4 linked regions of the Arabidopsis thaliana genome follow. The protein of the gene in region 4 interacts with the protein of the main gene of each other region in a pairwise test. Each region holds a gene or a part of one and is shown on either strand. Other genes may lie near its edges.

Region 1 (6,574 bases), on a different chromosome or scaffold from region 4:
AATTCATTATTCATGTGTACATAACTTTATATGTATACGGGAGTGTACACGTGAACGTTATCGATCGACCGAGATGGTCCAATAGTCAGTTTGTTCTTTCTTTATTATGTTTGTCGTCAACTTTATTTTATTAGGTTTTGTCATTAATAACACAAAGACCATACACTCTCTCTAATTATGTCTTTATATAAATATGATGGTCTAGTGATTTTCGTTACTGAAGTCGTATCTATTCGATTCCAAATCCGTATAATGCATGCCAACTACACAAATTTCACTCGTCCATGTTTGTGTGATATCTATTTATGTGTATATTATACACAGTTACACACATTCAATTTTATAATTTGTATCAAGTATATACGTAAACGATTGTCATGTACAGACACTCAACATACTTTAAAAAAAACTATATATCCATTTACTTTTCGAAATTTTGAAACCAAATTTATAAGAAAAACAAAATTTTAAGGGATTGAATGTTTCCAAATAGTTTGAGATGGTCCTAGAATATGAAAACAGATTTGAAAAGACACTTGATAATATTTCCTTAAACAAAAATATATATGATTTACATTAAGAAAAAAGTATTAGATTGAGAAAAAAACCTCTCAATAATATATTTTAAAAAACAAAATGAAAATATCCTACAAGTGATATTGACGAACCAACTAACTCATACATTAATAATATCTCCTTGTCCACCAATCCTCCAATCCAATCAGACAACGGTATATATAAATATCTAATTTGGTTTTTATCTAACTAAACCGTTACATAACCGAATCGGTTTTGGAAAATATGTATCGATAACTTTGGTCCTAATCTTTTAATCTCAAACAATATCATGAAGTAATTGAGCTCCCATCAAATTCCTATAAGGCAAATTCTGAACTTGATCATCATCTAACATCGACGCTGAATATTGAACCGGTCCTTCTTCAATGTGGTCTCTACCGTAGAAAAGTTGGCCACCTTGAGCCGTCACTGGAGACAACGCTAAACTCACACCACCGTTACCATCGTTACGTTGTAACCCAAGCGTCAAGGAAACGTCACCACGTGGCCCTCCTTCACCAGCGTATGTCACAGCTTGGTTACCGTACAAGGAAAAGTCAAACGTTGACCCTAACGACATCGTTCCATGGGTTGAGTTGTGACCGGATTTGGATGTAGGGTTTGTCACTATTGAGGATAAAGATTCCGGTTCGACACGGATCAACTGGTCCGGGTCCGGTTTAGTATCGATCATCATCGGGTTTGTAATCTCCATTTGTTCACTTCTTGTTTCTTCACAGTACATTTCTTCAATCATTGGTTTCCATAGCCTAACTCTTGCATTAATAAACCAATTTGATACCTAACAATTTTGGTTTATTATAACTTTAGTAAATAGGATAATAAATTTTGGAATATATCAAGAATTAGTGGAGTTATTCTTTACCTGACTTCTTGATAAACCAGTTTGTCGGGCCAATATATGCTTATCAACATCGCTCGGATATCTGAAAACAAAAATAAGAAAATTTTACTTTAATGGAAAAATATAAGACAAATGGATATGTAATTAAAAAAAAGGATATAAATGATTGAAGAATGATGCAAATAAAATGGAAGCAAAGGTAAAGGGTTTGGTGAAAACTAACAAGATGTTTCATTGTTTGAGCAGTGTTTGGGAATTGATGGAGACAAGTGTTACATATGATGATAAACATATAACTTCTGTAAATTAAATAAATAAAAAGTAGAAGAAAAAGAACAAAATAAAAACATGGAGAAAAAAGCAAGGAGTTATGTATAGTTTCTCTCTTTTGTTAGTGTTAGGTAAAGAACATTGATTCTCTCTCTCAATCCACTTTGTACCTTTCTCTATTTCTGTCTTTCATCCACCAGTTAAATTTATTTTATTTAATTTTATATGTTCGTATACATATATATACATGTGTATATGTATATGTTTGTACACTCACTTTCACACCAATAGTGCAAATGAAAGAAAAAGGAAAATAAAAAAGCTATATGCAATTAACAGATTAAGGTAGATTGTATCCTATGCTTGTCAAGTCAATCTCAATCTCTCTATATAAAATGTACATATTTTTTTACTTTTATATGTTCAAAAATATTCATGTAACAAACAAAAAAAACCTATCATACTATTTATCAACGTACTATCAATGAAATAAAATCGTTAAAGAGGTTTTATATAGCTCCATAAATATACCCAATTAACTTGTGATTCTACCTTCATTGATCACTTCAGAAAGACACAATTAGTAACTTTTAGGTATGTGTAAATATATTAAGAGGATGTATATGAAATAACTTACGGGTGAAGAAAGTGTTCAAAGAGCCAAGCTCTCAACGTTGTGACTGCGCGTTCAGGCAAGCCGCGTTGTGGACGCCAAGGATGAGCGTCAACAAGAGTCATTTGGCGATACGATTTCTGTTGCCGCAAAGCTTGATCGAGCAATCTCAACCGTGGAGTTTCTCCACGTGCTGCAATAGAAACCGCACGATTATCCTCTTCTCTCTCTCCCAAAGCTTGACTTGTTGCTTGAATCTGTCCCACAAGTCCGTCTTTTAAACACCGAAAGTGTCTTGACATTGCCCTTGACGCTAACGCAGTGTATATCTCTGCCCCTCCTAGTCCAACCGCCGCTTCAAAGGCTGCCGCCGCAACTCTCATTTGCTCTCGGTAATGTCCATATCTTCTTTTAAGCTGCCAAAAAACCGCAAAAAAACGTTACCCCACACCATTCACAAAGATTTCAATCACAATCGTGTAAATGTAGATTCTTAGAATGAGTAAATACACGAAAAAGAAACAACTCGTTATGGCTTATGATGATGAAACTGATTGCTATAAATATGGAGGACCACTAGAGTCTCCAAATTAGCTCAAAGCAAAGAAAACAAAATTATATTTTGGTTCTATAGAAAAAAAGAAATAATGAGTAAAGGAATTAAAAGGGTTGATCTTTTCGTAGTTGATACGATCGAACTTGTTTTCGACGAGAATACATGAAAGAATGAAGACAAAAAAGAATCTTTTTATCTTAATATCTAAAAGAAATTTGTAACTTTAAGAAATATATGGACCTAATCAAGAATCGAAAAAATACAAGATTTATGGGTATCTTACATATTTAGGAATAAGTTGAAACCAAATGAAAGGAAAAAAAAAAAGATTTGTAAAAGACTTGTGGGTATTTTACATTTTTAGGAATAAGTTGAAACCAAATAAAAAAGGATTAGATTTTCTAAGAAACTCATGTAAGTTTTGATAGTAGTAATGAAATAATTTCTTGAAAATATATATACCTCTTCGAGCATGGAGAGCAACTTGGCTTTTCTTTTCTGAAGTTCCATGAACTCAAGAGAGTGAAGTGGTGGAACATGTTTCTTTGAAGAAGTAGTCGCAGATTGGTCATGTTGATCATTGTTGCTGTGGTGACTTGTGTCCCACTCTTCTTGTTGTTTACCCTTTTGCTTCTTCTTATGCTTCATCATCATCACTTCTTCATCGCTTTCCTTTACTCCAAGACTGCAAAACTCACTCAGTAGCTCTTGAGCTGGACTCAAATACTTGGAACTCCCAATCTGAAACTGATGATGATTATGATGCTGATGATTGTTATTGTTGTTGTTTTGGTGGTGACTATTCATCATCATCATCATCATCTGCGTGTGTTGGAGATTCTGATGTTGTGTTGATTTATTACCGGAATACCCTTGTTGTTGTTGTTGTTGGGGTCTGAGTTCGAAAGATTGGAGACTGATGCTTGTAGGATTTGAAGAGGAGAGAGAAAGGGAAAGACCTTGGCTTGGTCTTTGTGGTGGTCTCTCATCATTTACTTCACTTGGGAAATCATTATTAACATTGCATAGTCTCATGGCAGATGAAGAATCTTCCAGAAGCTGATTCTGATCAGTACCACCACTTGTCTGATGATGATGATGATGATGATCCGAACCACTTGTCATCCTAATCTGTTGTTGCTTAGAGAAGTCTATCATCATACCCATGTTGGAGTTTGAGCCAAAGATCTGATGATTGTAATGATGATGATCGGTTGGGTTTTGGTTTGTCTCATCAAACCCTTGGATCTGATTAATCATTTGATGTTGTTGCTCTTGATGATGATGGTTATTGTGACCATAGAACTGATCTCTTGCCATGTCTCTCAAGAATTGAAAACCCAAAAAGAAGAGAAGAAAAAAGAAAACTCTTTTTGGGACAAAAACAGAAGTTTCATTAAGATCTACAAGAACCCATCTCCAAGAAAAAGTTAAAAAGAACCAATAAACAAAATAGAAAGGCAAATCTTCTCATACCATGAAAATTACAAAACTTTGTATCAGAACCAAGACAATAGAGATAGCTCCTAAAACCCTACAAGAAAGTAGTTTGCATAAAGATGTGAATTATTTTTCTTCTTATTCTTTAGGTGAAGAGGGAGAGAGAAGAGATTATAGGAGAAGATAGACGAAGAAGAATAAAAGAATTAAACAGAAGAGATATAACAGAGAGAGAGAGAAGAAAAGAGATTGTGTGGCTTCACCTCTCTCTTTGTTTTGTACTTTGACAAAATTTAATTTTTCTTTTAGTATGGGTCTGTAAATTGTACTACAGGCAAAAATAAAGAATTATAAAATGGTAAAATAAAATTAAACCTAGGAAGAGAAAAAATCAGATTGGTATCTCTTCAGAGATCAGAAGACAGGTGATCATGACCCTGCCATAGACTCTATAGCTAGCCATCAATGTTTTAATCTCTCTCTCTATATATATCTATATATATATATATATCACAAGTGGGTCAAAATGCTTTACAATTTTCAAAAGAAATATTAATATTCTTTTTATTTTATTTTTTCCCGCATATAAAATGCCTCACAATTATACATTTAATTTGTGTATTTTGGTATACGTAAGTCATAATGAAATAATGGTTTATATTTTTCTTCTTCTTTGACGTTGAATTATAAATTATTGGTCTGACCAAGAAAATACTACAGGTGTCTACCTCTATTCTTTATTTTCTTCGTTCAATTATTAAGAACCTGCTAATTCGAAAATTTAGTTTACAAAAAAAATCAAAAAGGATGGTACGTACGTACATTGGTCCAAACAGTTTAGAAAAAAAATTGATTGGATAGATAACAAATAATTAAACTGAACTAAAGAAAACAAAAATTAGAGATCCTTTGCCCGGTACACAAACTAATTATACAAGCCATCTTCATATGACATATCTCTACGTTGATTTAATTATTTATTAAACATAATTTAGTATTTAAATGTTCATATATATATATATATATGTATATATGTATTTAGTATTTTGATTTTTATTGCTGAATCCATACGTGTAATCTACGTGTATATGTATTTAGTATGTATGTAGATATGTATACAATATGTTATCTAAGAAAATGATATCAATTTTGGTGTTAGTGTCGTTTGCTAAGCTTATGTAGGCAAATTTTGTTATTAAATGAATATTTTTGGAACTACTTTTTTTTTTGGTGAAAATATTTTTTGGAACTACTTTTTAAACATTTTTATGAAGCATAGCGTATCTCAAGCAATATTTGAACATTGACGATGATTTTTAATTGAAAATAATAATATTCTAAATTTAGCCAACCAGTCACGTGAATGTACAAATTTAACTAGTATTTTGTACAAAAGGTGTCCCTTTCTATACATAAATAATCGTTATATATAATACATGTATGCCTCTGCGGCTCTGCCTATTTTGCTCCTAAAATATATTTTCTTTGTTAAAGAATTATTATCAGGTCTAATTTATAACAGAATTATTTGATGATAAATGAATTTTCAAACAAAGAAGAGAAGTTAAGTTAACTTAAAAAATGAATAACTGTGAAAAAGTTTTGCTCCTAAAATAGTTTTTTTTTTTTTTGGAGAATTAACATACCAATATATATATATATATGTTGGTGTATAGATGGAGAGGTAAGTAAATGAAAGAGAACGAATCCCAAGAAATCAAACCAGAAGTAGGAGTTGAGTTCAGGCTTTTCTCAGATATGTCTCAGTGTCACTTCTCTACTGTTTAACAATTACTATTAAATTACTATCAACCATATCATAACTATATAAACATTTTAATTAATAGTAATTATATATAGTAGAATAGAGATCGTAGTCCCGTGTAATACAACACAAATGGACTGATGTCATTATTCGACTTGCACTTCGCACAGTACGTGAAAGAGATTGTGTTTTGAGTTTTAAAATACGTTGTTGGTCGGTCACTAAACTAATCGAGAAAGTACCAAAACAAAAGTCTCCTTGTTAGTAACTGCAAGGGCGAAGAAGTTAATTATATCAAGATTTAATGGTTTTCTATTAAATTCCATTTAATATGTACGCAAAAGAAGGAAAACAAAAAATCAAAGTTTTCTTAAACATTGCTGACATACAAAATCAAATATTCAAATTTTAAATAAATGTTTCTTAAATGTTGACATAGAAAACTAATATAGTCGTTCTTCTGCTTGGCACATGTATTATTAATTGTTGTAAAAATAGTGTTTATTA
Region 2 (7,639 bases), on a different chromosome or scaffold from region 4:
GTGCAGCCAAACTGGCACATGCCACGAGGGCACATGATATGGTAAAAGCATTTGGTCTTGTTTGGCAATCTTCCTCAAACATCTCAGATAAAAGTTCGAGAGCTTTATTTGCATCCCCGTGCTGGGAGTATCCACCTATCATCACAGTCCAAGTCACAACATCCCTTTCCTTGGGGGAAAGTGAATCAAACATAGCACGTGCAGTATCAACCTTTTTGCACTTAGCGTACATGTCAATCAGTTGATTGATTACCATATTCTCATCACCATGACCGTTCTTACGCAAGTCTATGGGATATTTGATGGCATAACAATGAATCTCTTTACCATGCATCAATGCTCCAACAGAAGCACAACCCGAAAGAACCGAAATAAGCGTGACTTCATTTGGTTTTATCCCAGAAGACAACATCTGCCTACACACACCCAAAGCTTCATATCCAAGTCCCCGTTGAGCATACCCTGAAATAGCAGCACTCCAAGTAACAACATCCATTTTTATTTTCTCTTCCTGCATCTTCTCAAATAACCTAACAGCATCTTCAAACCTTCCAATCTGTGAATACCCAGCAACCATAGCATTCCAAGATACTACGTCCTTCACTGACATGTTCGAAAACACCGTGTTTGCCTCATCCATCATCCCACACTTTGCATACATATCCACCAAGCAATTCCCTACAAACATATTCTGTATCATCTCACTTGTGACTGCAAAACAATGCAATTGCTTCCCTAGTGAATGAGTTCCTAGGGAAGCACAAGGAGGAAGAACATTCACAAGGGTAATATTATCAGGTCTACATCCGAATTCATTGGTCATCCTGCTAAACATTTCAAGCGCCACCTTAGGTTTGCCTAACTTTGCATAACTTTCTATTATAGAGTTCCACGATACAACATCCCAAACAGACATTTCGTCGAACACCTTCCGTGCATCACTCAATGAACGACAACGGGAATACATAGCAACAAGCGCATTCCCAACAAAGACATTGGAGATAAATCCAGTTACCAGAGAAAGCGCGTGAGCAGATTCTCCACAACGAACGGAGGATATCTCGCCGCAAGCCTTGAAGACGAAGGGGAATGTGTAATTATCCGGCGTCCATGACAGAGAATGCATAAGGCCGAACAAATAGAGACATTTATTGGCGCAGCCATTGTCGCCGTAGCTGCGAATGAGTGAATTCCAATGGTAGACACCAGCGTCAGATGGAGGAAAACGACGGAGGAGAGATACGGCATGAGATAAGCAACCGACGGAGATATAGGTGGAAATGAGGTGGGAAGTGAGATTCAAGGTTAGGATTCCGAAAGAGAGGAGTTTCTGGTGAATAAGCTTGACCTGAGAGATGGTTTTGCATTTGTGAATAAACGGCGGTGTTATCTCCGGCGCCGATGTCGAGAAGAGAGAGACTTTAATGTACTGGTGAGATTTTGCGGCGGCGTTGGGGATGAGAAGGCGGCGGATCATACTACTGTAACTAGAGTGGCGGGTGATTTCTGCGTTTAAACTAAACAAATCAATTCGGTTATATCCCGGTTTTAGATTGGAAATTTGAAGAAAGTAATGAAACCGGATGTGAAAAGAAGAAGAAAGTATAATAGACCGATTAAAATTTAAAGCGAATTTCGGTTCGGTTTATGTGCTAAGCGACCTGCGTTTGCGGTTGAGTGGACGCTTTGGATAGCGTTTGTAGCTCAGCTTTGAATTGTTTTGAAATTTTCAAAATCGCAGTTTATAGTTTCGAGAACCCAGAAGACCTTTAATCTCCCGCCTCTTTCACACCATCAGACTCCATTATCGAAGCTCGTTCACTCTTCTCTCTCTCCAAATTCGAGAGAAAGGAGGAGGAAGGTGTAATGCCGCGTAAACCTAGACATCGTGTACCGGAGATTCTATGGAGGTTATTCGGAAACAGAGCCAGGAATTTAAACGACGCAATAGTAGATCTGATTCCTAACCGGAATATCCAGCCGGAGCAATGCCGATGCCGGGGTCAAGGTTGTCTCGGTTGCAGCAGCGATAAACCGGCGTTTCTGCTGCGTTCCGATGATCCCATTCACTACCGTAAACTTCTTCACCGTTGCTTCGTTGTACTTCACGAACAAACCCCTCCGCTTCTGGATTTCTCTCCAACATCTTGGTGGTCACAGAGAGAGGTAAGATTCTTCTTCCCACTGTACTATACATTGCTTTGAGTGCTTAATTTGAGATATTTCAAGACGTGGCTACTCCTTATAAAATGCCTCTATGTTATCTTATTTTGTATGATGTTGCTGATTTCTAAACATTTTGCTTCAATTGAGTTTATCAGATTGTTGAAAGGATTATTGAAATGATGCAATCTGGATGTGATTGCCAAAATGTGATATGTGCCAGATATGATAAGGTGAATTCTTCTTCTTCCTTCTCAAACTCAATGTAGAGTGCTGATTTTCTTAGCCTAATGATTTCTCGTCTCCTTTGACAGTATGATCAGTCGAGCCCTATTTTGGAGCTATTGACAAGTTCATCTTGGGAGTTTCTTCTCAAGCGGGTTTGTTCTCAAACCCTTTTGATGATTTACTTTCAATATTCGAGTTTGCGGTCACTAATATTCAAGTTCCCTTGTTTATAGGTCGGTCATGACGTCATGGTTTATCTTCTACAGCAAACATCAATATTCTTACCATTACTAGGGAAAAAACACCAGCAAGTGTCTGGACCTCCTCTATGTATCAAGCATAAGCGTGAGTCTCAGAATTAAACTTGTATCCGAGCTCTTCTGTTGGCTTTCTTTTGAAACTTCCACTTTCTTGTTGGTTCTCTGAATACTTATGATTTGTCTGTGACTGCTTGGTTATCGATTATCAACTTCTGGTTTTTAGTTCATATTAACTTAGTAAAGTTTTCCTTCTCCATGGTATAGGGACATTGTCAGTCCATGAAAACAAAAGAAAGAGGGATGACAACGTTCAGCCACCAACGAAAAGGCAGTGGCTTTCTTCAGCTGTCGATGACTGTCCTAAGGATGACTCTGCAACTATTACGCCCATAGTTGGCGAGGATGTAGACCAACATAGAGAGAAAAAAACTACTAAGCGTTCAAGAATATATCTTAAGCGTCGGCGAAAGCAGAGAAAGGTCAATTTCAAAAAAGTTGACTGTAATGCTCCTTGTATAACTCCCAGTACAAATGGTAAAGTCTCAACTGGTAATGACGAAATGAATCTGCACATTGGTATAAATGGAAGTCTCACTGATTTTGTAAAGCAGGTAATGTTCGTAACAATGATATTGATCAATCAAGTTTAAGTTGAAAATGCACAAGTTTAAACATAAAGTTATTGCTTAAAATTACTAAGAGACGTGTATAAATTGCTCTTGATTTATCCTCAGCCTTGAGAAATTGATGGGACTATTTTTGTAGTTGTACTTTGGTGTATTTTAAAAACTGTATCATTTATCTTGTTGTATTCTGGTGGTTATTAATATTCTTCCTGACACTTCATTACCTTCAAATTCGACAATCTGTTCTTGTATTTGTAAGATTTAATCACTGTTTTTTGTAGGCTAAACAGGTTAAAAGAAACAAGAATTTCAAGTTTGGCCTCTCAGAAACGTATTCAGTTATACCACCAAACCGTATCCTTCAGTGGTTTTGACATGTTCAATGACTTGTAGCAACGATAGCTTGATGGAAGTTTAAACGTTACTCTTCTCTATACAGTTCTTCTGCATTGTGAATGATTCCTTATGATATACAGACATTTTAAAAACCTTGAGGCCCAACTGCTCTGATTCAAAGCTCCTAATGAACCATATATTTGGTGAAGTAAATGTTTGGTCAACGACGCCATCTCATGGCAAAGGCAATTGCCCCAGTGGATCTATTTGCTTGTAAGTCATCCATTTATTCTTGTAAGTTCTTCGGCTTACTCTGAGACTTGGAGCATGTATTCAGATAATGTAGAGCACATATCTAAGTAGTCTGAGTTATAAAAGGAATTTGTTTAAAAGTTTTGTTGAGGTAACTGATGCAAAGAAGAAAATGATATCATGATGTCTTTTACATTGATTTGCAGATACCATTCATTGCTCAAGTCTCTTAAAAATCTAATAGGAAAAACAAAGTCTTCACATTTAAAAATGCTACTAGACAAACACTGTCCTGTTCTCTTGCTGCAAGAGGATGCATTGAAGTCCGGAACGACTTCTCAGGTTGATATTTTTCTTTTAGAGATGGTTTTCATATTTAATTTCCCTAGCGTTTTTCGTTTGATGTCTTTTGAGTATTTCTATTTCAGAGAAGTTATGTTGAATATTCGAATATGTACAACAAAAAGAAACTAGAAATGGAAAATCAACACAGTTGCTACTTTATAGACTTTGGATATATAGTGCAAACCTGCATAAGAATTCATATCCGTGGCACTTCCAAGTGCTTCCTTGAAGTGACGAACCTTGCATATCTTGTATTACAGAGTTCAAGGAGGCAAAAAGCAGATAAGCTGCCTCATGGATCAAGTTCATCACAAACGGGAAAACCCAAATGTCCCAGTGTTGAAGAAAGGAAGCTGTATTGCACGAACGACCAAGTAGTTTCCTTTATTTGGGCCATCTGTAGGTACATTGTTCCAGAAAGTTTGCTTGGGACCACTCATCAGATGAGGGTGCTTAGGAAAAATATAGCGTGGTTTGTTTCAAGGCGACGAAATGAGAAATGCACAGTGAATCAGTTTTTGCATAAAGTGAAACCATCAGATTTCCCATTCTTTGCTAGAAAAGAGTTATGCTGTATGGTCAACGGACATGAACTCCAAAGTGAATCCATCAGAAGTACACAGCAGATGTTGTGCACGAAATGGATTTCTTGGCTTTTTTTAGAGATTGTCAAGAAATTGGTGCACTTCAACTTCTATGCCACTGAAAGCCAAGGAGGACGGCTAAATATTTATTATTACCGGAAAAGGAGCTGGGAAAGATTAATAAGCAAAGAAATTAGCAAAGCCCTTGATGGATATGTCCTAGTAGACGATGCTGAAGCTGAAAGTAGCAGGAAGAAGCTATCAAAGTTTAGATTTTTACCAAAGGCCAATGGTGTGAGGATGGTGTTAGACTTTAGTTCTTCGTCAAGGTCGCAATCTCTTCGTGATACACATGCTGTTTTGAAGGACATCCAGCTCAAAGAACCAGATGTTCTTGGGTCTTCTGTCTTTGACCATGATGATTTCTACAGAAACCTATGCCCATATCTGATCCATTTAAGAAGTCAATCTGGAGAACTTCCTCCTTTGTACTTTGTGGTTGCGGATGTATTCAAAGCATTTGATTCAGTCGACCAGGGTAAGCTGCTTCATGTCATTCAAAGTTTTCTGAAAGATGAATACATCTTAAACAGATGTAGGCTGGTCTGCTGTGGGAAGAGATCCAATTGGGTAAACAAAATACTAGTCTCGAGTGACAAAAATTCTAACTTTTCAAGATTCACATCAACTGTTCCATATAATGCACTGCAAAGTATCGTGGTTGATAAGGTATGCTTCTTTTTGACCTAGAGCTTTTTGATCTTTTTGCAGAGGGTAAAATACAAAACTATTGGACTACTTAAAAAAATCTCTAGAGATCTCTTTTCTTAGTGCTTGTAGCGTCCCTGTTGTTCTTTACTTATTTGCTTAACGGTGTTATGGTTTTGGTCCAACCTTCTAGGGAGAAAACCATCGAGTGAGGAAAAAGGATCTAATGGTTTGGATAGGAAATATGCTAAAGAACAACATGCTGCAGTTGGATAAAAGCTTCTATGTACAAATAGCTGGAATACCTCAGGGACACAGATTATCATCCTTGTTATGTTGTTTTTACTACGGGCATCTCGAGAGGACTTTGATCTACCCATTCCTCGAAGAAGCCTCTAAAGATGTGTCTTCTAAAGAATGCAGTAGAGAGGAAGAGCTTATAATTCCCACGAGCTATAAGTTACTGAGATTTATTGATGACTACCTTTTTGTGTCTACCTCAAGAGATCAGGCGAGTAGCTTCTATCACAGGTTGAAGCATGGATTTAAAGATTACAACTGCTTCATGAACGAAACAAAATTCTGCATAAATTTTGAAGATAAAGAAGAACATAGGTGTTCTTCTAATAGAATGTTTGTGGGAGATAATGGAGTTCCTTTTGTCAGATGGACGGGTTTGCTTATTAATTCCCGCACATTTGAAGTTCAAGTTGACTACACAAGGTCTGCCTCATCTCCTGTATGTTTCCTTCATAAGTATACTTGTTTGGCTCTGTTTCCTCAGCTTTTATTTATAATTTTGCCTCAAATTCATGGAAACAGGTACTTGAGTGGCCATATAAGCTCAACTTTTTCTGTAGCTTGGCAGAACAAACCAGTTAGAAATCTTCGGCAAAAATTGTGTTACTTCTTGGTTCCGAAATGTCATCCAATTCTATTTGACTCGAACATCAACTCGGGAGAAATCGTCAGGTTAAACATCTATCAGATCTTTCTGTTGGCTGCAATGAAGTTTCACTGTTATGTCTACGAGGTGTCCCGGTTTTGGAAGCTTCATCCTCAAACTTTGTTCAAATTCATCACAATATCTGTCAGGTATGGAATCAAAACTACATCATATGTCTGTGAGCATTTCGGTTTTTGGATCATTCTGATTTGAGTTATTCGGTCTTTTTTTGCTTATTCGGTTCTTGATTTCTTTCCAACTGATAGGTACATGTTCAGACTCATAAATAGAAGGGTGCGCAGAATCAACACTGGTTCTAGTTTCAGACCAGTTCTTAAACTATACAAAGAAGAAGTGATATGGCTTGGCTTAGACGCTTATATTCAAGTTCTGAAGAAGAAAAACTCGAGATATCGAATGCTCTTGATCTATTTAAAATCTGCACTTTCTAAACACTCTCTTTCTCAGCAGCTATCGTCGGAATTGAGGTATGCAACAGACCGGTCAAACTCTTCTTCGCTGTGGAAGTTGAATTATTGAAACTGATCTTAACTAGATTTTATCATCGAAACTTAGGTAGATCCTTTAAATTTCTATTTCAGTCATTTTGATAATCTAGGAACAAAATGGATTTGTAACATTTAGGGTAAAGAAAGATTTAAATGTCAACTTATTAAATATGTATATTGGAAAAAACCCAAACTATAGTCTAATAGTGGTAGGGAAAATCCAGGCATAGCTTATATGGTACATCCCAAAGACCAAACCAGATTTCCAACTTCCATGTCAAAGAAACCAACAAGGAGAAACAAAGGAAACTGTTTAACTTGATGATATTAGTTCTTCGAGTATTCGGACGAATGAATCGGAGAATACCCTTCTGGCAGTTGCTGCTGCGACTGTGCTGGTTGCGATGGTTGCTCAGCTTCAACCTTCTCTTTTGTTTTCTGTCCAACCTCTCCAGCTGCTTGAGCCACTCTATTGAATGCTCCTGCGGCCCAGCTCACACCAGTTAACACGTAACGGTTCTTCATCACAGCGCTTCCTGCACTGCTCACAGTCTGCTCCGCAGCTGCATACACAGACTTGGTCCTCTCTGTTACCTGAAAGTTTTGGTCCACCGCCTTGATTTTTTCGTTCACCAAGCTTGTTCCAGCTGTAAGTTTCTGGCTAAGACCGATTTTTTGGTCT
Region 3 (5,788 bases), on a different chromosome or scaffold from region 4:
CTGCAAGTCCCTGAAACCACCCTAAACCTCCAAAATTGTTAACACCATCGGAGAAAGATGAAAATAGATAGATATAGAGATAAGGAGAGAAACTGAGATATCAGACCAGTCTGATTCTTTGAGCTGTTGCGCAAAAAAACCTCCGACGAATCCCATCCCGAGAATGAACATTTGGTTCGGCGATTCTGGATCTGGTGCACCGGATCGAGAATCGTCGGTTGCTGATAATGGCCGGAAAAAGTTGATTCTCCTACGATTTGAAAATTTAAGTGGTGTGGGAGTAAAACGGAAAGGAATCTCCGGTGACAAACTTGGTAACTGAAAAACCGCCATTGAAATCGGAGGACTGAGAGACTCCAAGGTCTGTTGTACTTTAACTGATTCACAGTACAAAGAAACTACGTGCCGTTTTGTTTTCAAAATCAAGGACTGCATTTCGTTTTTACAGTCCAGTGATATATACTATAAAGAATCGTGAAACATTTACCACAAAAGTCTCAAGTTCAGATTTTTTCACACTTGCAAGTATCCTTTATACCACCGTGAATATTATTATACACACATATCAATATTTGGCTTAAGAGTCTACTATACACAAAAGCAACCTACACATCTACTATATAATCCATAGAGAATGGGTGTATTATGCCTAATACTATAAAAATGCAAAAGCACATTTCTTGCGCTTCAAGAATCATCTCCTCTGTACCAAGAAGAACCAGATAATATCACACAACAAAGTCGTGTAAGTGATGGGAATTGGAGAATCTGCTTTCTTGCTGGTTGCTTCCGCTAATGTAACGGTAATCATCAACACCAAACCCGTGATAGTTCATCAGAGTGTCGTAATCCGATGAGCGGTTTATCTGTTGTTGCTGTGGGTCGTTATCATTGCCTAGAACACGATCTGGTTTGGTTTCTGATGAGAAGACAATGTTTGTTGTGTCTGCAGATGAATAAGCGAGGTTGCTGTTGTTGTTGTTCTCTTGCTGCTGCTGCTGCTGCGATGAGGAGTCTTCTTGGTTTGTGCTGTTGGGTTCTTGGGAAGATTTGGAGATTAGTAACTCAGATTCATCACCAAACTCTTCTTTATACATTTCTTCGATCATCGGTTTCCACAGACGAACTCTCGCGTTTATGAACCAATTAGCAACCTAATCATTTAGCAGAGAAACCAGAATTATTCAAGCAGAACACAAAGGGTGCAAATTTTAAGTGAAGACCAAAAGCTTGGTTTATACCTGGTTCTTTGACAATCCTGTCTGCTTTGCAAGCATGATTTTCTCAGATTCTTTCGGATATCTACAAATAAAAAAAACAGAAGAAAAACATAGAGTCTCTCTAAATGTTTTGTACTGGGAGATTGAAAGATTGTGACTTGTGACTTGTGAGAGAAGAAACACTTACGGATGAAGGAAATGTTCAAAGAGCCAAGCGCGAAGAACAGAGACAGAGTTTTCAGGAAGACCTCTTTGAGGTCTCCAAGCAGGTCGAACCATTCCAAGCTGTTGATGCAAAGCTCTTTGCTGTCTCAACCGTTGATCTAAATACCTCAACCTTGGTATCCTCTCTCCTTGTTGCTCATCCAACGACTCTCCTCCTTTCTCCCCAAGTTTTTCTCTAACAATCTGAATTTGTTCCTTTATTGCGTCGCGAAGAGCACGAAAATGGCGAGAGATTCTGTTGAGAGCAACTGATGTGTAAGGCTTAGCTGATCCAAGTCCTGCTACTATCTCAAATGATGAAGCTAATGCTTCCATTTGATGGTAATATTGGTTATATCTTTTATCTACCTGCAACCATTAACACATCCACAACAACCAAATCACCATCAATCCTGTTATAAACCAAAGGTAGTTTTATGAAATGTAAGTTAGTTACCTCATCAACCATTGTTAAAAGCTTGTTCTTCTTGTTCTGAAGCTCTTCACGTTCAATTGTAGATAACTCAATCGATTTCCCATTCGAATCACTCGATAACTCACCACCTCCTCCTTCTATCTCCTTAGAACCACTGTTAAAGTCATTAACTTTCATCTTCTTCTTCCCCATTTGGTTTAGTTCTTTCTTGACACTAACCACTTCATCAAGCAAATTCTGAGCAGGTTTAAGATACCGAGAACGCAGAACGCTGCTCATAAACCCTCCTGATGTCTCATTATACCGATAATTGTTGTAGAAGCCATTCCCACCATTACCAGCATAACCAGAGGAAGGATCAGATTGACCCAACAAGATCATTTCTTTGCTCTTCACACTCATCTCATCCACATGAAACGGTGACGTTTCCTTGACTGAAATTGAAGGATTCTGACTAGTAAACCCCAATTGGTATTGATGAAAGTGAAACGGAGCAACAGAGATCTGAGTACCAAGGCTCAAAGACAGTCCTTGACCATCGTGAAAGCTTAGATCGCTGCTTGAAACGGTACCGTTTCCTGTTACAACGTCTCCTGTGGTGGTTGGTGGGATAAAAACCATCTCGTTTCGAACAGTATCGCCGCCGGTGACGGTGAAAGAAGCGGCGGCGGATGAAGAAGAAGCTTGTTGGTTTTGTTGTTGATGGTTGAGAAAGATTGGTTCTTGCTGGTAACAACCGACATTACTTGTGTAATAAACTGCCATTGGTGTTTACACCTTTTAAAAGTTTTATTACAGTGAGTTCTTAGTTCGATGAGTTTGGTCGGGAAATGAGATCCTGCAAAAAAATAAGAGGAAGAAGAGTCGTGTAAGGTGTGGAATTTTAAAAATTTCTGATGGAATCTAAGAGAGGTTAAAACATCGTAATCATTTCACACCAAACCATTTTTTTTATATATCATACATAAACAGTTTCGAAAGCAACAAACAGAATCGGACCAAATTATTCGGAGGATTAAAGTCAAATTCTTGATAAAAAGCAAATGTTTTTCGTGAAGAACTGAAGAAACCCAGAAAAACCCAATACAGGAATTGTGTAATCGTAGAGGAATACCCGATCTATGGAGGTGAAATTGAGAGGAGAAAAAAACCCTAATTTGAGGTTGGAAAAAAAAATGCAGAGTAAAAAGAAATTGTGTAGCTCAACGTAGTGAGTCAAAAGCAGAGAAGATTCAATTATTACATAAAGAAGTAAAGTGTCTTGATGATTTCATCTCTTGTAGGAGAATTTCCAAAAAGCAAGGGAGAAAAAAAACACAGAAAGTATACAAAAAATAATAATCAAGAAACACAGTACAAGATTAATCATATCAAGAATCAAGAATCAAGAACTTGAATTTTTAAAAACTACCTGAGGGAGAGAATCAAAGTTAAAAGGAAGAAAAAAAACCTAGAGATTGTGTTTGTGAGTGTGGATGTGGCTGAATCAGGAAACACAAAAGCAGAAGAGTTTCGAACAGTTGAAGACAAAAAAAGATTTGAGACCCAATCCCGAGAGAGATAGAGAAAGAGGCGATTAATAATTGCAAAATTCTTAAATAAACAAATTTTTTTCAGTCCACAAGAACAATAAAACCAACCCAACTTATCATTGGGACATTAGACACCAACCCAATTTTTAAAAATATTATTATGCAATATCAACAATAAAATAAAATAATGATCACTACCGGAAAAATTTGACAACCGCTACCTGTAATTTTTAATTTTTTGCGGCAGAAGCTTCTGTTTCTGATGCTTAGAGTAAAGATAAATTAATATGATTTTTTTTGTGTGCCAACCATTCATAGAGAAACACGTGAGAGCTTACAAATCACCAATTTTCTTTTCTTGATTACGTGATAATATTTCTTATGACGACTTTAACATACAAAACTTAACAATTCCACACACACAAATAAATGGATTTTTATAGATGATTGTATTATACTTTAATGATGTTGTGTTGTCATTGACTTGAGACTCATACTACTTTTCCGTATAAGTTAACTAAATACAACCAAAAGAAAAAAGTTGAAGGAATGAGTGTTTATATATGAAAAGTTTAGTATTTGTATATTAAAAAAAAAAACCAAATCTAACTATTTAAACGAAATAATCTATAATGCGTACATTACCATGGTATCGTGGGAAACTTTTAACGACTTCCTGATTTGTGTACGTGAGGCTCCAAAATAGTGAAATTATTACCTGCCACAAATTATAGAGTCTAGATTTGGATTTCAAACTAAAATGTTTTTTTAAACTATTTGTTCTTATCACCTTGCTTTCATCATAAAGTTAAAGTTCGATACATTTTTAATAGAACTTCTTGAGCACTTTGTAGTTCAATATCTTTGAGGTTTTCTTTAAATGTTTGATATAACGGATATACTTTTAGTTATGCATGGTAGCGGAAATTAAACTCCATCAAATAAAACATAGAAACGTCATTATAGGTAGGAATATGAGATTACAAAACTGACCCTGATAAGCTGGTTTAAGGAAGAAGATAAAACAAAGGTGGGTGTGTGTCTGCTCAATTGCTTAATTGATGGATTAAATGACTTAACAACCAGTTGGTGAGTCCCTCCTTACTCTTCTGTTATACCCAATTTTTATTCTAAGTTCTCTTGTCTTTTTATTTCTTTTGTTATAAACCTTTTAGTTATACACTTACATGTTTGTATTTGCATATTCCACAATGAAGAATACGTAAAAGATTATCTTTATAGCTACACTAATAATATAATCCATTTCCTCTGATTTTTAAAATAACAAGTAGTTTCGTTTTGGTTTGTTGGAGATTGGATTTAGAGCAGCCGACACAAAATCATTTGGCAAGTACCATTGTGTTGGAAAATTATTATTCATGTGTTTTGAGTCTTTGAGAGATGATGATATTGACTTTTGTTTCCACGTGGATCTTGATTTATAATGATGATTAAAAATAAATTAATTAGGCAGTTAGCTGGTGAGAGATTGATTAAATCTACTAAAAATTTAGATTATTAATGATGTAATTATTTTTAAAACCGTATGGTTCTGTAAATCATATTTTAAAGTTGAGGATGAATCGATGATGCTAAACGAGGAAAATGTGTGTGAGTAAGAAATGAACAACCTTTGGTTTGGAGGAAAATGTTGAAGTATAATAATTCTTGCCAATTGTCAAATATATTAATTACATGGATATATCCGAAAAAAAACTTTATAATAAATAGCCACAAGTTATGGCCGTGTAACAAAAAGTAAAAGAATTTATTGCCACATACATTGTTGGACCATATATGAAGACGGATCATCACCACTAAAATTCATGTTTGTAACATTTATATTCTATGGATCGAAATCATTATGCTCTCCATTATTAGAACCAAACAAAACCAAACCAAAATTGTATCAGCAAAACTAATCTGAAGCCTAGCTTAGCTTAAGAAAAAAAAAGAATTAAAACCATATAGTATGCATTAACTATCATCATAACTAGTTTAGTTTTAGGCTTTTAGCAAATAGGCCTTTTAAAGCCCATTATAAATATGAAGAGAGGATTCCATCGGGGGCCTGCTGAGAAACGGCAATCAACTTCCTTCTAAATAACAAAAACGGCGTGAATTGCAAACTTCTGCAAAGAGTCAACACTGATTAGCGGCTTTTCCCCATTAAATCTCTCCTCTAAACTTCTTCGTTCCAAGCTTTCTCCATCACTGACGACAGATCCTTAGAAAGTTCTGAGATCGATTGTTACTGTGTAAACCCTAGGATGTGATTCTAAGCTGTAGAGAGAAACAATGGCGAAGCCATCAACGAGTATGTGGGCAACATTGCAGAAGAAGAGATGGCCACTGATGATTCTATTGGTTTTATCTGTATCAACAGTAGGAATGAT
Region 4 (4,494 bases):
AAGTCTCCTTTTTGAATTTCAAGTACACACTCCAAAATTCAAATTTTATTGAGCTGATGGTTTTTTATTCTTTTAATATTTGGCAGTCATCTTTTGAGCTTAAAAATGAAGAGAACTTGAAGTTGAAGGAGAGACTTGACCTTGAAAAGGTAGATTTTCGTTGCTATTCTCTGTTTTATTATCATGGTTTTCATTGTATTCTTAAAAAAACCCAATATTTTTCCACAGGAGATTGCAAGTCTCCGAGCAACATTCGATGAACAAAACCTTAGGAACCAAAAGCTGAAGAGGATTAAGGTAACATTTAGATTCTCCCTAACCATCTTTACAGTAATCAGATATTCCAGATCCCTTCTCTCTATTTGCTGGTCTCATCGACTCTTGTGTTTTCTTGTTTCAGCTTGACTTAAACTCAGGCCGTGTCACAAACAAGAAACCTGTTGATTTGATTCGTAAATCACAACTCGAGCGGCTACAGGGATCAAAATCTTGCAAAACCAGTGACTCGCAAAATCAGGGGAGTTTCTTCGTCCTCCCTGATCTCAACATGGCGCCATCCGAGGAAGAGATATTGTACGGAACTAGCTAAAAACTGGCCTATATGAAGATTTGCGATCGAATTATAGTGAAGGGAAGAAGGGAGCTAGAGATGTCAACTAAGAAAAGTGAATGTAATAAGTGGTGTAATGAAACTCTCCCGTCACATTCTGGTTTTCCGTTTCCTTCTTTTTTTGGGGTAAAATGCTCAATTACTTCTTGATTTTTTCTTAGGAAGAGGGTGAAAATTAGGTTTTTACTTTTTACTCCCTCCCTCCCTCCCTCTCTGTTTTCTTTAATTTGATGTGTTAGAAGAAAAAATTTGTTTTAAATAGATGGTGTTATCAATTTTTAATGCAAAATTAACTACTTTTTTTTTTCTTTCTTTCTCTTTGTACCGATTTAAAAGCTTTTGTTGGAAATTGTAAAGAGGAAAAAGTAGGACAACTAATAGACTTTTTATGTTCCAAACATTTTCTTCTTCACTATTCTCCATACATTATTATATTAAAACCCTAGTTTCCGCTCAACTAATCCAAGACAAGAAGATCTATCAATCTCTTTGGACATTCATTTTTCTACTATTTAATTTGAATTTTTATAATATAAACTTGGGAGGTGTAATGCTATTGGTGGGTTGTCGGCGTGTTCATGGAAAAAGATTCGTTTTTAAATGCCCAATAAATTTGAGAAAAAATTGCCAACTTGTTTATGAGCTTATTTTCTTTTTCATGGATCCCAAGTCTTTTGTGTATAGAGATTAAAAAAAAATGACATTCCTTCATGTAAAAAAGAAAAAAATATCTGGGTTTTAAAAATATCTACAATGAGTTTAATGGTAAATATACTTATCATAATTTGGAGAATAAAGACCTAAAGAAGAAAATTACACTCTAGAACAGAAGTTTTGTAAGCAAATCATTGCTCACAAAACTTGTGAATTACAGAATTACAGGCTCTTGTAGGTTGAGTTATTTTATGCTTCATTTTGGTTACAGGCTTTATGTTGACATTAAAACAAAGAGATTGAAGTAGAGTCCAAAAAAAAAAAAAATATATATAAATATAAAATTCAAGATTAATTAAAAAATATTGGTCTTCAGAGAGATAAATAACTAGGGGAAAGAGAAAACAGTCTTCTCTTCTCCGATCCCAAAAACGCAGGAAAACAATGTCGTTTAACAGCTCCCACCTCCTTCCTCCACAAGAAGACCTTCCTCTCCGACACTTCACCGATCAATCACAGCAACCTCCGCCGCAGCGTCACTTCTCTGAAACACCTTCGCTTGTCACCGCCAGTTTCCTCAACCTCCCTACCACCCTTACCACTGCGGATTCCGATCTCGCTCCTCCGCACCGCAACGGAGACAATTCCGTTGCTGATACAAACCCACGCTGGCTCTCCTTTCATTCGGAGATGCAAAATACTGGAGAAGTACGTTCTGAAGTTATCGACGGAGTCAACGCCGATGGTGAAACGATACTCGGCGTTGTAGGAGGTGAAGATTGGCGGAGTGCTAGCTATAAGGCGGCGATTTTAAGACATCCGATGTACGAGCAGCTTCTTGCGGCTCACGTGGCTTGCCTTAGGGTTGCGACTCCCGTTGACCAGATTCCGAGGATCGATGCTCAGCTCAGTCAGTTGCATACCGTCGCCGCGAAATACTCCACTCTTGGTGTGGTTGTTGACAACAAGGAACTTGATCATTTCATGGTAAGTTTCACTTTCTAATTTTGCAAAATTTTAATGTTTTGAACTGTGAACGATTCAGCCATTTATTTCTCTTTGATTATCTGAGTATAGCAAATTCACATTTTTGTGTGGCTCATTGTTCCCGCTTCTCGAGTCTTGCAATCGATATGATCTTTGCTTCTACTTTTTTGGTTAGCTTGTAATTCGAATTATGAACTTTGTCTGACTCAAATAAGTTATATTTGTTGCATAAAGCTTCTTCTTTGATGACTAATAGTTTGTCTGATTCTTGCTGAAAAGGACTTTGCATGTCCAAGAGAAAGAAAGCATAATCTATTTTTTGTAACGTTCTGTTTGTATGTCTTATGGATTGGAATCTTACCTTTGATTATTATGTTGATGCAGTCACATTATGTTGTCTTGTTATGTTCATTTAAAGAACAACTCCAACACCACGTTTGTGTCCATGCAATGGAAGCCATTACGGCTTGTTGGGAGATTGAACAATCACTGCAATCCCTAACTGGTAACGTCCCAAATCATTTTTTTTTTTTGTTATTGTCTTCTTGCTTTATGTGTGTCTTGGTTTTATCGGTTTTTCTTTGTTCTGGTTTGTAGGAGTTTCTCCAAGTGAAAGTAATGGTAAGACAATGTCGGATGATGAAGATGATAATCAAGTAGAGAGCGAGGTGAACATGTTTGATGGAAGTTTGGACGGTTCAGATTGCTTGATGGGGTTTGGTCCTCTTGTTCCAACCGAGAGAGAGAGATCTTTGATGGAACGTGTGAAGAAAGAACTGAAGCATGAGCTTAAACAGGTAATTGCTTGATCAAGCTGCAATGGTACATCAAACTATACAAAACACATTGTTAAATCATGTTGCTCGGTTTCTTTTTTCCCCTGTAGGGTTTCAAAGAGAAGATTGTGGACATAAGAGAAGAGATAATGAGGAAGAGAAGGGCGGGAAAGTTGCCAGGAGATACGACTTCTGTACTCAAAGAATGGTGGCGAACTCACTCGAAATGGCCATACCCAACTGTAAACACCTTGGCCGAGAAGTTTTGTTACCACATTGTCAAAAGCAAGGTTTTAATTCGTGATTTGGTTTTGGAATTGCAGGAGGAAGATAAGGCAAAACTGGTTCAAGAAACCGGTTTGCAGTTGAAACAGATCAACAATTGGTTCATCAACCAGAGGAAAAGAAACTGGAACAGCAACTCTTCCACGTCATCTACTCTCACCAAGAACAAACGTAAACGGTAAAACAAGATCCGTTCTCTTTTTCAAATTGCGCAATTTCATTAAACCAACCCGGTCAAGATCTTCTTTTGTAACCAAACTCAGGACCGGGAAGTCGTAGGTGACATAGCGGCTAACTAGAGGATGGTTCTTTGCCATGTGAATTCTTGGGAACCGTATATGAAAGAAACGAATCCGGTTCTATGCTCGTACAGAGTGTGTTATTTGTATAGTGGATACCGGTTAGCCTATGAAACCGGATTCTGGAGTCCAAATTGTTGTTTGTAACGACTTAGTAGTTTTTGGAAGTGATCTGTTTCGTTGGTTTGCGTCTTGTAACGAACGCTTAAGCAAGTGTGGGTTTTTTCTTGTAAAGTGTCAATATGTTCGTTTGTAATGAATGTATCAAGCAATATTTATCATAATTAAACTAGCTTGAAATGTAGTATTACGATGTTGTTGTGTTCGTCTGATTTCTCTCACCGGTTGATGCATGGTTACGTTCGGCTCGGTTTTTATATGGTTCAATTTTTAATATATCGATAATTTTAAATGATTTCACTTGTATTATTAACAAAGCCCATTGGTATTTGGCCCAAAATCTGAATGCCGACTTAATGACTTGTTTCTTCTTCCTTCAGCTTCTCCAACGAACGGCTTTTGTTTTAGTTTTTTTTGCTTACCTTTCTCTCGACTTGGTCTACTTTTGTTACTCTTTGAGTTGGGTGATTATGGCAGCAGCACCACAGGAGGAACGATCTCCGTCGCTTGACGATTGCCTTAAGCTATTGAAAGGGGAGAGAGACGAGCAGAGGCTCGCCGGTCTACTTCTCGTCACCAAATTCTGTAAGAACGATGACATCGTTTCTCTCAACAAGGTCTACGAAGCCGTTGGTACTCACTTTCTCGACCGTCTTTTCCGTACTGGTAATCAAAACCCCGAATTATTGATCTTTGTCTCAGTAAATACTAATATCAATTTTGGGGTTTCTACAAAGTGTGAATTTTTTAGTTGAGATACTAA

The links.
Region 1: the proteins of KNAT5 (region 4) and BEL1 interact in binary tests that used the Arabidopsis thaliana proteins (3 or more experiments, as listed by UniProt).
Region 2: the proteins of KNAT5 (region 4) and TERT interact in a two-hybrid assay, tested with the Arabidopsis thaliana proteins (one study listed by BioGRID).
Region 3: the proteins of KNAT5 (region 4) and BEL10 interact in binary tests that used the Arabidopsis thaliana proteins (3 or more experiments, as listed by UniProt).

Annotation. Positions count from the first base shown.
Region 1 is NC_003076.8:16,578,032-16,584,605, reverse strand, and holds BEL1 (POX (plant homeobox) family protein), read right to left. Parts: upstream 4,671-6,574; 5' UTR 4,183-4,670; coding exon 3,325-4,182; intron 2,723-3,324; coding exon 2,331-2,722; intron 1,506-2,330; coding exon 1,445-1,505; intron 1,361-1,444; coding exon 836-1,360; 3' UTR 529-835; downstream 1-528. UniProt on the Arabidopsis thaliana protein: Plays a major role in ovule patterning and in determination of integument identity via its interaction with MADS-box factors. Formation of complex with AG-SEP dimers negatively regulates the carpel identity process and favors the maintenance of ovule identity.
Region 2 is NC_003076.8:5,537,672-5,545,310, reverse strand, and holds TERT (telomerase reverse transcriptase), read left to right. Parts: upstream 1-1,751; 5' UTR 1,752-1,866; coding exon 1,867-2,166; intron 2,167-2,321; coding exon 2,322-2,396; intron 2,397-2,477; coding exon 2,478-2,543; intron 2,544-2,624; coding exon 2,625-2,736; intron 2,737-2,915; coding exon 2,916-3,262; intron 3,263-3,558; coding exon 3,559-3,631; intron 3,632-3,753; coding exon 3,754-3,886; intron 3,887-4,071; coding exon 4,072-4,207; intron 4,208-4,470; coding exon 4,471-5,523; intron 5,524-5,695; coding exon 5,696-6,225; coding exon of another isoform or gene 6,226-6,241; intron 6,242-6,324; coding exon 6,325-6,597; intron 6,598-6,714; coding exon 6,715-6,988; 3' UTR 6,989-7,131; downstream 7,132-7,639. Other genes in the region: AT5G16860 (Tetratricopeptide repeat (TPR)-like superfamily protein), read right to left, coding at 1-1,477; BPA1 (binding partner of acd11 1), read right to left, coding at 7,285-7,639. UniProt on the Arabidopsis thaliana protein: Telomerase is a ribonucleoprotein enzyme essential for the replication of chromosome termini in most eukaryotes. It elongates telomeres.
Region 3 is NC_003070.9:6,809,230-6,815,017, forward strand, and holds BEL10 (BEL1-like homeodomain 10), read right to left. Parts: upstream 3,835-5,788; 5' UTR 3,614-3,834; intron 3,529-3,613; exon of another isoform or gene 2,975-3,528; intron 2,766-2,974; exon of another isoform or gene 2,699-2,765; 5' UTR 2,626-2,698; coding exon 1,882-2,625; intron 1,794-1,881; coding exon 1,408-1,793; intron 1,303-1,407; coding exon 1,242-1,302; intron 1,155-1,241; coding exon 729-1,154; 3' UTR 536-728; downstream 1-535. Other genes in the region: AT1G19690 (NAD(P)-binding Rossmann-fold superfamily protein), read right to left, coding at 1-21, 107-333; AT1G19710 (UDP-Glycosyltransferase superfamily protein), read left to right, coding at 5,691-5,788.
Region 4 is NC_003075.7:15,492,419-15,496,912, forward strand, and holds KNAT5 (homeobox protein knotted-1-like 5), read left to right. Parts: upstream 1-1,570; 5' UTR 1,571-1,708; coding exon 1,709-2,251; intron 2,252-2,635; coding exon 2,636-2,756; intron 2,757-2,848; coding exon 2,849-3,048; intron 3,049-3,137; coding exon 3,138-3,269; intron 3,270-3,350; coding exon 3,351-3,490; coding exon of another isoform or gene 3,491-3,494; exon of another isoform or gene 3,495-3,575; coding exon 3,576-3,591; 3' UTR 3,592-3,963; downstream 3,964-4,494. Other genes in the region: AT4G32030 (uncharacterized protein), read left to right, coding at 87-149, 229-297, 401-589; AT4G32050 (neurochondrin family protein), read left to right, coding at 4,202-4,397.